Linked DNA regions of Arabidopsis thaliana. The protein of the gene in region 2 purifies or fractionates together with the protein of the main gene of each other region. This does not show direct contact. Each region holds a gene or a part of one and is shown on either strand. Other genes may lie near its edges. The genes, in order: XK-2 and AAE3.

Region 1 (6,318 bases), on a different chromosome or scaffold from region 2:
TACCATTTTGTATCCTTCTAAACCAAGAATTGGTATTTGACTCAATTTCAAGAACTTGTCAAGTTTAGCATTCAACTCCTCAAACCTTGTAAACTTTTGAATAGTGTCTCTTTAAGTCATAGCACAACCTTCCCCGTGGTTCCCATCGCTATAATTTGAGCTAAATTATCCCCTAGTAACTATTTTCAACTTAAATTTCCATTTAACTTACCATTGTTAGTAGTTTGCTCCTTAAATTTCCATTTAACTTTGTTTGTATTGCTCCCTTACACTCAATTCTTATGTGTGAATTGAAGCTTGGGAGCAAACTTTTTACCATAATCCCATTGATGATATTTGTCGTTTGAGGAGAAAGAAAACAATCTCAACTTAAAAGTGTCTTTTGCAATCTTATTGATGTACACATAAACGATTAAATTGGTCCAAAACTTAAAAGTGTAACAACATTAGTGTCATTGAAGAGTTGTATTTTATATGAACAAAACACCACTTTAAAAAAGTTTATTTTCCATTAGATCACAAAATTTATGACTGACTTGTGAGATTCAGACTAGGTTTGTTTTTTCTCCAAGTTGAGAGACTAGGTTAGAGCTAATTCTAATTTTAGGCTGATACAGATCAAATTTAAGTTTGCATTAAATATACCCCTCTCTCTCTCGTGGCATGAAATTTTAATTTTCTGTTTACCGTAAAGAGACTACAAAACTTTGAAATATGTAACCAATATTTTTTTTTCCTTGGGGAGACAAAACGGTGTCTCGAACCGTAAAGCAAAAACGAAGGAAAAAAAAAAAAAACTGAACCAACACCAAAAGTTTGCAACTTTGAAAATGCCTTCTCATCTTCCAATGATCTCTCTCTCTTCTTATCTTTAGCCGTTGCTTTTATATCAAATCCGTTCTTCTCTTTCCATCTCAACACCCATTTGAACAGAGAACCTGAGAAGCAACCGCGATTCGCCGCCGCCGCCGCCGTAATCCATCATCGGCGGCGGCGAGCGGAACAAAGTACCGGACTGTCAGTGCTTGATTAAGACAACATTCTCTGTACTCTCGACATTGATGATGTACGCGACAGTGACTGAGAAAAGAGATTTGGGTCGTTCCTATGTGAAAAAGGCAGACAGGTTGGAGCCAGGCATAATTGATTTCTATATTTTAATTTGACTAAAAAAAATAAAAAAAAAATCTACTTTTTTGTTTTTGGAGTGACATTTGCGAATGGGGAAGAAGGAGATGAAGATTTAGCTTTTTTTTTGTTCTTTGAATTTTTTCAACCAGAAATGTAAAATCTTTATATCATTTCTTCTGCAGATCATTTTTGTCGTGTTTATGTTCTTTTTTTCTTTCTCACTCTTTGAAGACTACTAACAATTTATGGCCTCTTCTGATTTTGTTTGTGTCTCATTGTATGTAAGTCTCTCAATGATTTAAGTGTATGACATAAACTAGATTAAGAGCAATGTCTTACGAATCATTTGTTACTCAGAGATCGTAAGATCGTATTCTGCTTTTATTTTGAGCAACAAGCAAACTTGTCTTTTAGTTTTAGTAGATAGAACTTGTTATTCTTTCAACTCTTTAAGTTATTTGAATTATTGAGTAGTGAGTTTTTTTCTTCTCAGAAGTGGCCTAACTTCTCCACAAGCTTGTTCTCTATTTCCATCCTCTTCTTCATCAACAAACCATAGGTGGAAGCAATGTTCGCGTCTCCTGCTTTTACCTTGAGCTTGCAGTTCAGAGATGTTGTTTCCAATTTCCCTTCGTAGAGATTTGAGATTGGTACAAAGCTTCCTTTTTTGTTGCAGAGCCAGCCATGAGCAGCTCTTAGTGCAGCTCCAAGTGATGCTGAATCTGTTGCATACAAACAAACACTTTGTTCAATCTATAAAGGAGATCAAGCAAGTATAAGCCGCAACTTGTTTTGTATGTTTCAAGAGTTACCAGGCCTTTGGACAGTATATACATCACATCCGAAGATTGCTGAGATCAGACTCAAGATATTCTCGTTAGCAGATGCACCTCCGGTTGCTATTATTCGGAGGGGAGGGGAGGGCATACCAAATCTCTCAGTATGAGCCCGCTTTGAAAGAAACTGACCTTCAATCAATGCCCTAACCTGACAGCAAACAATACATTGGGATGAAATCGAACTATGTAATTGCCCTGTGGATGTTATAGAGAACAGTGTATAAGCTTGCTTACCTCTGAGGGAGGGTCGAACTCACCGACCTCTTGTTCCTTCACACCCTCAAGAGACTCACCAGAGAAGTTCTCAAGAATGTAACGATGAGAGCCAACTAAGCATTGAGAAAAGCATTAGTAAAGCAAACTTACAGCATGTTGCTGAGGCCAATAGCATGGAAAGGAGAATAACTCAAGCAAATACCGGGAAGTGGGGGCAGAATTTCATTTTCAGTGTAGTAGAAGCCGAGTTTCCCATCTAATGGATCCAGTAGTGTATTTAGAAAACAAAGAATCTGAATATATTATAGATGGACACCTGAAGGATAATGAAATAGCAACTTACTGTTTAGTGGCTGTGTTTGCTGCAAATACTTATTAAAAACATCCCAAGATCCCTCAGCACAACGGTCACGAATTTCTGAAATGGAAATTCACATTCTTGATTGTCTCTGAGGATCAAACAAAGCACATAAGAACAGATAAGAGTGGGAGTTTGCAGTCATGAGTACCTTCCCGGGTGAGAGAAGCATTCTTGTAAACCAACATCACCATATAACTCTCAGGGTCCACAGGATTAGGTAACACATGACCCTCAAGACTGGGTTGAAGTTCTTTGGTAATCCCAAATACCTGTAAGAGTTTATAATGTTCGACATGTGAAATGGTAAGAACACTAGTCTATATCTGGATTAACTAACTAGCAAGCTCGACAAGAATCAAGAGCCTTGCCGTGTCACTGGTTCCAAGACTGATCGCCAGATCTCCAGGAGTACTAAGAGTTAGACCTGCATGACATGGTATAGCCTCATTGGTACCTTGTAATTCATATACAAACACAGACAGAATCCAGTCGCAAGATACACTCTCCATTTCATCATAAATGTCGCAGTTGCTACTCAAAAGCCCAAGTCAATAACAATTTGAAAATGCATAGGAACTTCTCCCCAAGCTTATGTTGTTGAATATGTACCTGCCAAGCTATTAGGATTATCTCCCGACCACTGCACAACCACACAGTTCTTTTCAAAACCGAACCTGCAACATAACCAAAAGAATCTCTGAATCTGACATGTGAAAGTGCATATCATATCCATCCTGATCACAATCGATACTAACCTCTGAACAAAATACTGAGAAATAGAACCAGCAGTAGCATAAGCTGGAGCTAACTTCCCAAGTTTCTCCTCCAAACCTGTCGCTGTAGCCTGCAAACAAAACCTATCAACAAACAACCATTTTTAAATATCTAACTACATCCTCAAAGTCACCCACAACAAACCTCTAACGCAGCTTTAGACCAACAACGTTTCTCAATATCCATCAAATTCATCCCAGCAGCATCAGTTTCATCAATACAAGCATAATCTCCAACCAACAAAGACGCCATAAAAGAGCTAACAAGCGAAATCCTCTCCGTGCTCTTATACACCTCCCCCTGAGTCATAAAAAGCTTCCGTATCTGCGGACCAGTAAACCGCTCATAAGCACGAGAGCCAGTGATCTTCGACAACTCCATAGCTCCACCAACAGCATTCTCAATCTCTTTACATTGCAATGTAGTACTACTATCCATCCATATAGGAGATTCCTTAACCGAAAAAGCGTTTTCGAGTTGTTCTTTCAATGATCTCTTTGAATCCAATGATCTCAATACCTCAGAACTACCTTTTGACCAATACACACTACCGTGTTGTTGCCCGCTGCCTGAAACAGCGATAACTTTGGCGAAATCGAAATTGGCGTTAGAGAGCTTCTGGAGAATGAGATCAAATGCTTCGACCCACATGAGAGTTGGAGATACGATTCTTCCGTTTACAGTAGTGTCTCTGTAAACCCCGTCTTTGGTTTTGTATTGAGGAAGATCAGAATCGAAATGAACGAGTTCGGTTTTGATAATGTTCAGGTTCGAATCCAACACAGTTGCTTTCATTGACCTTTCAATGGAAACAAACAAGATTCAGATCGACCAAACTAACGAATTTCAAAATGATCGAAGACTGATTGTGATCAAATCAGAGAGATAGCAACAATAGTAAAGGAAGGGGGACGTACTGGGTAGAGCTGTCGAAGCCGAGGAAGAGGGAATCGGGAGGAAGAGAGAGATCCGCCATTGTTGATTGATCCAAAGTTTTTCACAGGTTTAGAGGAAGAAGAAGACGAGAGAGAGATGTGTCGTCGTTTTTATAAGGTAGGATCATTTAAAACAGACACTAATCAGTATTTTGGATAAGAGCGGAGGTCATTAGTCATTACTCCGAATATTTAGTGACTAATTGTTATCAGATTGTTGGATTTTGTTTTCTAACCTTAATTAGTTATCCACGTCATGTACACAAAATAAAAATAAAAAATATTTCTAACAAATCATGAGTAAATTAATTTATATTGTTTCGTTTAGAAGAATTTTAATATCAATGTAACGCAAAAAAGTTTTCTATAACATAAAAAGGTTTGGCTCTACGGCCTTTGAGAGGCGATTTTTTTAGGTCTAGCCACCACCAAACTTTTCTTCTCAAATTTCTGACGTTACCTTTCTGATTATCTGGTGCCCTTGGCCGGAGTCAGAGAGGGTGTGTCTGTTTGTCTTTTATTTGCTTTTCCTTTGTTTTGGGTCTTCTCTGGCTCCTCCTATGGCGGATTAAAGACGAGATTCTAGATGGTTGTGCTTCGATTGGAAGGTTGGTTCCGTTCTAGTGATGGTGTCGCTTGGTTCTCCGTGGGTGGTTGGTGTTTTTGTCGGAGCCCGTGTGGTTCTTCACTGTTACGGCAGTTGTTTTTGGAGATGGAGGTTTGGTTTCTTCATCTTATACATACCTGATCTAGTGGAAGCTATGTAGTCTCGATTCTGTCTTAGGCTAATATTAGGTTGCCTTTGGTTGGGTAATTTAGTCTCTGCTCATAGTTTGTCCTTGGTTTTGCTAAGTCTTGGCTCGTTTGTGTTAATTTTCCTAGTTTTAGGTTTGTTTTGTTGCGTTTAACCAATTGAATTAGCTAAGCTCAGAGATCCTTCTTGGTTTGTGTTTTGCGCAAGTCAGTTTCTCTCTGGTTATGGAATTGCCTTTATGTCCTTTGCTCTTCTGCTTTGCTGGGTCCTCTTGGGCGTTTGGTGGTTTTGTTTTTGGCTAGGTTACGGGTTGTGCTTGTCTTTTGGATGGTGTTTCGTTGCAGCGTCATCTACAAGCTCCTTTCTAGCTTCTTTGAGGTTTGAAGTTGGGCTACAGGCGTCACAGTGGAACGATCACATGTTCTTCTCTTGCGAGGAGGTTACCAGTTTTTTGTTGGTAGATGGCTGAAACTGGGTCGACGAGTGTCCGCGTGTAAGAGCTGTTGGTCTTCTTTGACTTGTCTCAAGCCGAATCACAAGGTTTTCTCCTTGTTCCTAGCCTGTCTCTTTATCTCCGTCTGCTATGGTGTGACTTGGCTCTAGTGGTTCATGATTCCTTGGTATCGGGTGAAGCCTTTTGCCTTCCTTGTCGGTGTTGCGATTGGTTAGGCTTTGGTGTTGTGTCTTATCTGGTCTTCCTGATGCTATCTGGCGTTCACAGTTTCTATAGGAAGGTTTAGTAGGCTTCTCTTTGGAACATGTGGTCATGTTTAGTGCATTGGTTGTAGACTTCTCTTAGTGAGCTAATTTTTTTGGTTGTAAGTTGGTTCCCTGTACTTTAGGGTTATGTCTCCCTCGTTTGTTTCTCTCGTTTGAGCTTTTGTTTCCGGGGACATCTTGTTGTTCGCCGGCTTTGTCTCCCGTTAAAGTCGGGCTCTGTTTCCTGTTAAAGTCTCTGGCTAAGTTTCCGGTTTATCCGGTTTTGTAAACATGTTTGGCTTGATTAATAAAATTCCAGTAACAAAAAAAAAGAAAACGCAAAAAAGTTAATTAATGTGAAAATTTTAAAAATATCTCCTACCGGATATTCTCTCTATTTTATTTCGTTTTCCAGTATGTTTTGGCAGTTTTCAAGTTTGGATGAGATCCAAATTTGCCATCCAATATATCTGGTTTATGTCACGGTTTTGTCAGTACGTATTTTCTTTTAGTATTAAATAATTATTGCAAGAGTTAGTGTTGTAGATTCGATGACTTTCTTCTACCTTATATGCAGATTCTCTTTACTTATGTGTCGTTGGTTCAACG
Region 2 (5,515 bases):
GTACGATTACATGTTTCATCTCTTAATCCAATACTCTAAACTCCTCCGGTTTAAACCCGAGATCCCTCAGAACTCCACTGAGCTCTGCTCAGAGGCAATGGCATGCCCGAGGGATGGAAATGAACGAAAGTTTATGATGGAATCACTCGTAAAACGCCCAGCTGAGACAGGTCCCTGCGCCATGCCGCCTCCGTATGATCCGGCATCATTTTATTCAGTTTTGAAAAGGAGACAGAGTACGACTAGTAGAATCGAACAGTGGGAGAGTAAGTACTGGAGGAAGCAGAACAAGACCGGTTCGTAAAATTAGATTGGCGTATAAAGTTTTGGTGTGTAGAGTAAAAGCACTTGTCAGAATTGTATCGAGTAGTATAAATTAGAAAACATGCGATCTTTATTTTCTTCTCCGTTTTTTTGGTAGAATTTTAACTAATCCATTCTGTCTAGTGAATTCGACGATACAAAGTTTTAATCGGTAATAAAAGTAAATAAGTTTTGTACGGTTTGATCTTATATCTCTATGACTATGCCTGAATCTAGGAAAATCCTTATGGTAAATGTTTTATCCTCGTATTGAGTTCTATATTGAAATCACAAAGTTAACTTTTTTTTTTTTTTTCTTCTATCACAAAAGTTAACTTTAAAATTCAAATTTGGAGCTCAAGTTCAGAATTAGTTAGCTATAACATGGAATGGAACATAATTTGGGACATAGTGAAAGTCTACCTGTCCCACTAAACGGTCGGTTTGTTCAACGAACCAAACGCTTTAAAAAGTGACAATGTAATATTTGTCCTTTGGCTTTACCCGTTTTGGCAGTACGCTTTTAGTTGTCAAATTGGCCATTAGATCAAGAGCATCAGTAACAAAAAGACGCAGAGACAACACCAACAAAAAGAAACTCTCCTTTATTGTTGTACTTCAATAATCACTTATCGACTTTTATTTCCACTTTTGTGATTTAATCTATAACCTTTACCACCATGAAACATATAAAAAGTAACTTTTAAACCAAGAACCAATAATAGAGAACGCATATCCATTTGCGTGAAAAGTGAAAACTAGGACTCATCACCGATGATTTTCGAGCAAGATGGTGTTTTCTGTGTGTTTCAGGGCTTCTCAAGGAAATGTTGTGCGACGATACGGCGCTGAATCTTACCAGAGGCAGTTTTGGGGAGGTTATCAGTGATGAACACTCTCTTTGGCACCTTGAAAGCTGCCAAATTCTTCTTACAAAACGCTTTAATGTCCTCTTCGGTTACAGTAGTTCCTTCTCTTGGAATCACCGCACAGTTAATCTGATAAACCAATAAACCAGGGAAACACAGCGTTATTAACAGCTCATTGATAAGTAAGTTCACATGATGTTTGATGATTCTGCAGGACATAATGGTAGATAAGGGAGACCAATTCATAAATTCAAATTAGAGACAATTTAAGCACAGGTTTTGTTTACCTCTTCCCCATATTTCTCATCAGGAACACCGAATGCAACACCCTGAGAAACGTCAGGATGCGTTAAGAGTACTGCATCCACTTCAATTGGAGATATCTTCTCACCTGAAATAGATTATAATTAAGTACACATAGAAAATCTAACTCATTCATACAAAAGATCATGATACTGCACAAAGTAGCCTCTTTCTTTGTCTTGTCTCATTTCTAATTTGTTGGAGGGTTTTCTTTGACAAGTCTAACATAGTACTGCACAAAGTAGCCTCCACCGAGACTATACAAATAAACTGCTAGACATAGACTAGTATTCTTGTGAAACAGTAAAGCCATCAAAATAGAGTAAATGAGACTAACCTCCACGGTTAATAAGCTCTTTGATCCGACCCACCAGATGCAAATACCCATCGGTATCAAAGTAACCGATATCACCAGTGTGGAACCACCCAAACTCGAAACCTGCCTTGTTGGCTTCTGGGTTATTCTTGTAACCCTTGGTCACATTTGGACCTCTTATACAAACCTCTCCTTTGTTATTTGGCTCTTGGATCTCGCCTTTCTCATTAAGGATCGCCATTTCTTGACCTACCGGTTTCCCAACAGACCCAGGCTTGTGTGGACCTTCCTCTGGTAAGGGGTTTGAGCTCATCAAATGTGTTGCCTCTGTCATTGCATAGGCCTCGAGCACCGGTGCTCCAAACGCTTCCTCAAGCCTGGACAATATCACCTAACAAAAACCAAGACAAAATAAGTCATTAAGTTATTGAAAGCCAAAGCAATCCAACGTTTTACAAAACACTGTGCATTACAAACGCCTCAACAATTGACTGGAAACAAGAGCATTACCGGAGCCAAAGAAGCACTGCAACTCCTGATGAACCGGAGTTTAGGATATTCCGTCTCAGGGTGGCTCGCGTGGCGGTCCAATATGATCTGATGAATGGTCGGCACAGCAGTATACCATGTAGCGTTATACTTCTTCATATCTGGCCAAAATGTTGTTGCTGAGAATCTACCAGCAGCTGGAAGAGTTACAGCAGCACCAGCTCCAAGCGAGCTAAGCAACCCAGCTAACAATCCATGAACATGGAACAGAGGGAGAACAATCACCGTAGAATCAGACTCAGTAAGCTTGTACACAGCTTTAATGTTCTTGACGGATGAAGCTAGATTGAGCTGCGTAAGCGGTACACCCTTTGGACGGCTCGTAGTGCCAGAAGTGTGGAGGAAGAGAGCACCGTCGTCCGGGTGATTAACGAGTTCCGTCGCTGAGTCAACGACGGAATCTGAATCCGCAACGGATAGTACAAGGTCCGAGCCAGCGTCAAGCAGCGTAGCGGTGACGTGAGAGATTTTCAGCTTTGAAGCTGCTTCTTGAGCCGGTGCGTTTCCTTCTTTAGAGGTTAACAATAGCTTTGAATCTGAATCGGAGAGGTAAAACTCAAATTCCTCCGCCGTGTACGCTGCGTTCAACGGCGCCGCCGTGGCTCTAGCTCTTATCACCGCTAAAAACATTATAACAAACTGAAAACAAAAAAAAAAAATCAAAACCAAATTCATCCAAAAAAATCATCTGAATCCGGAAATCAAAATTTCTCAATTAAGAAGCGATTTACAGATATTCATAAATTCTGCTTCCCATGTGATTCTTCAGCACGCAAAACAAAACCAGAAACGAAGCTTTTAAATCGAAATATATGAAAACCTCTTAAAATACCTCGACGGTGTTAGGGAAGGTGAGAGCAACGACATCGCCGGGTTTGATTCCAGCGTCGGAGACAAGGCGTGAAGCGGCGCGTTCGATTAGATCGTGAAGACGCGCGTGAGTGAGATTGAATTTTCCAGAAACGGAGAGAGCTCGGCGATCGGGGAATTTTTTGGCGACGTTTTCCAATAATCCTGAGAGAGTATCGCTATCCATGGTTACGTCGGAGAGATAAACACGAGAGTAACGATGATGAGGAAGGAGAGAATGTGAAAGCAGAGAAGAGAGCAAATGCGATATTTATAAATTTATATTCAATTACTACAGTATCTGTGGAAGCAAAAAATGGCTAAAAGATGATGCCACGTGTTATCATCGTAGCGGATTTTCTATTGATCGTGTGGTCATAATGTTTTCATTTTTAATTATTTTGTTAACGGTGGGAGTCGCTGATATATATCCTTACGATTAGACCGACGTTTCGGTTTTTGAAGAGGTGGTTTTTTTAATTTCGATTCCGGTACAAACACTGAACCGAAACGGCTAGTTAATTAACTTTTGAAAATATTTTTTTTCGGCAAGCATGCGATAGTAATTTACGGTTTATGAATTATTTCATAGGAATTTGAAATAGTTTGTGTATGTATTATCAAACAAAAGAATAGTTTCATTAAAAAAATAGCCTATGAGTGTTTAATCACTTTTAGGGCCTTTGCACATGTGTCTTTGACTAGGATTATCACGTTTCGAAGATGCTTGACGTTGTTTATACTTTATATTATAAATAGAAGATAACGTCCTTATTTTGATTGTTAATAAATTAAATTGACCAAGGTAAAAATGTAAAATTAAAATAAGAAATGGTAAAAATGACTTTGAATGATAAGAATAAATATATTATTTATAGAAAAAAAGTAGAAGACTAAATATAATGAGACATATATCTTTTTGAAGTAATCAATTTTGTTTTGTCTATACATACAAATTATTATATTATTTTATTTGGTTTGATACATGCACACTATCTAACTAAACAATAGTGGATTTGGATAATTATTCAACAATGAAACTAATTTAAACCACTAAACATGCGTAGCTTAGAAGAGAGTCAGAGTAGAATTTACTAATCAAAGATTTAGTTTACCTTGTTATTTGTTAAAGATTAAAATTATGTATATGATTATGAATAGAAATACAAAAATCTCGTATAGATGAAAACGACAGTGTTTTAAAATATAAGTCATATTCATGAAGCTGAAAAAGTCATTTTCCATTCTCCTAACTAAGTAAAAACATGGTCTTCATGTAAGCCGTCACATACAAATACAATAGAAGAATTTGGTTTGTGTTTGTTCTTCTTAAGTAGAGCATTGTCATCTGGCCCAATCATTGAAAATTCTCAAGTACATTTCGTTCCATCACTAATTTTTTTTCTTGGGTCAAACCATACATTCAATTTATTAGGGCCTGATAGGCCCAAACTTCTCTAGGCCAACAATTAATAACCTACAATTAGGGATGTTAAAATGGGCTAAATATTTAAGGCCGGCCCGAGTCCTTATAAAAAACAAAAGCCCTAGCCCTGGGTTGGTGTTTTCTTATACTTATATTGGTGGGTTCATGTTAGATTATCGAAATTTTGGATTCGAACGTGTGGATCGCTGGAAAAATTAAACTTTAGGGTCGCTAGATTACGATTGCTTCGCTTTTTAGTAGTAGTAGGCTACAATCGATTGGCAAACATCTCTATATCGGCCATAACTCCGTCAAGCTCTGCAGAGGCTGCTTCATCAGTATTGAGAGACTTCCTGGTGATTGATTCTCATGTCTATGTCTGAGTTTGGCATTGTCTACGCCATCCATATCATCACCGTCCAATTCGGCTCCGTCGTCTCGGTAAATTGAGAAACCCTTCTGAGACTTGTGTTGAATTTATAATCTCTGTATAACGAATTTGGTTTTGGTTGCAGAAAGTTTGTGAATGTCTTCTACGTAAAGGACCTCTTTCCTCACGAGACATCTCTCGTTTAGCTGAATCAGATATCAACCATAACAAAGTTAAAGATATTCTCTATCTCTTGATTCAGCACAATTGTGTTCAAGCTTTCTCCATTGAACCTCCTGGTTAGTCTCTATATTGTTTGATTAGTAGCAACACACAGAAATAGAGAACTCAATGAAAGTAATTTTGTATGTTTTTTTTTTTTACTTTGTAGATGGTTCTGAGAGCAAAGCTATTGTACAGTATATTGTGTTGTTTAACAACATTCTGCATCGTGTGAGGTATAACAAGTTTTCGAGGATTGTAAACGAAGAACTTGACTCCAAGGTTTAATCGTGCTTCTTCTTCTCTCT

What was found.
Region 1: the proteins of AAE3 (region 2) and XK-2 fractionate together in Arabidopsis thaliana (co-fractionation; one large-scale study listed by BioGRID). This does not show direct contact.

The regions. Positions count from the first base shown.
Region 1 is NC_003076.8:20,150,877-20,157,194, reverse strand, and holds XK-2 (xylulose kinase-2), read right to left. Parts: upstream 4,465-6,318; 5' UTR 4,298-4,464; coding exon 4,239-4,297; intron 4,121-4,238; coding exon 3,466-4,120; intron 3,392-3,465; coding exon 3,303-3,391; intron 3,222-3,302; coding exon 3,157-3,221; intron 2,972-3,156; coding exon 2,916-2,971; intron 2,817-2,915; coding exon 2,696-2,816; intron 2,605-2,695; coding exon 2,530-2,604; intron 2,443-2,529; coding exon 2,389-2,442; intron 2,300-2,388; coding exon 2,205-2,299; intron 2,119-2,204; coding exon 1,944-2,118; intron 1,854-1,943; coding exon 1,621-1,853; 3' UTR 582-1,620; downstream 1-581. Other genes in the region: AT5G49645 (uncharacterized protein), read left to right, coding at 5,620-5,679; AT5G49640 (uncharacterized protein), read right to left, coding at 5,566-5,778. UniProt on the Arabidopsis thaliana protein: Mediates 1-deoxy-D-xylulose (DX) phosphorylation in the cytoplasm prior to the translocation of 1-deoxy-D-xylulose 5-phosphate into plastids. Can also phosphorylate D-xylulose (Xyl). Uses preferentially ATP as cosubstrate.
Region 2 is NC_003074.8:18,157,919-18,163,433, forward strand, and holds AAE3 (AMP-dependent synthetase and ligase family protein), read right to left. Parts: upstream 3,569-5,515; 5' UTR 3,377-3,568; coding exon 3,173-3,376; intron 2,980-3,172; coding exon 2,302-2,979; intron 2,183-2,301; coding exon 1,813-2,182; intron 1,564-1,812; coding exon 1,460-1,563; intron 1,302-1,459; coding exon 1,113-1,301; 3' UTR 647-1,112; downstream 1-646. Other genes in the region: AT3G48980 (O-glucosyltransferase rumi-like protein (DUF821)), read left to right, coding at 1-304; AT3G49000 (RNA polymerase III subunit RPC82 family protein), read left to right, coding at 4,985-5,056, 5,131-5,284, 5,377-5,489. UniProt on the Arabidopsis thaliana protein: Oxalyl-CoA synthetase acting exclusively against oxalate. Follows a two-step reaction mechanism, wherein oxalate first undergoes adenylation by ATP, followed by a thioesterification in the presence of CoA to yield oxalyl-CoA.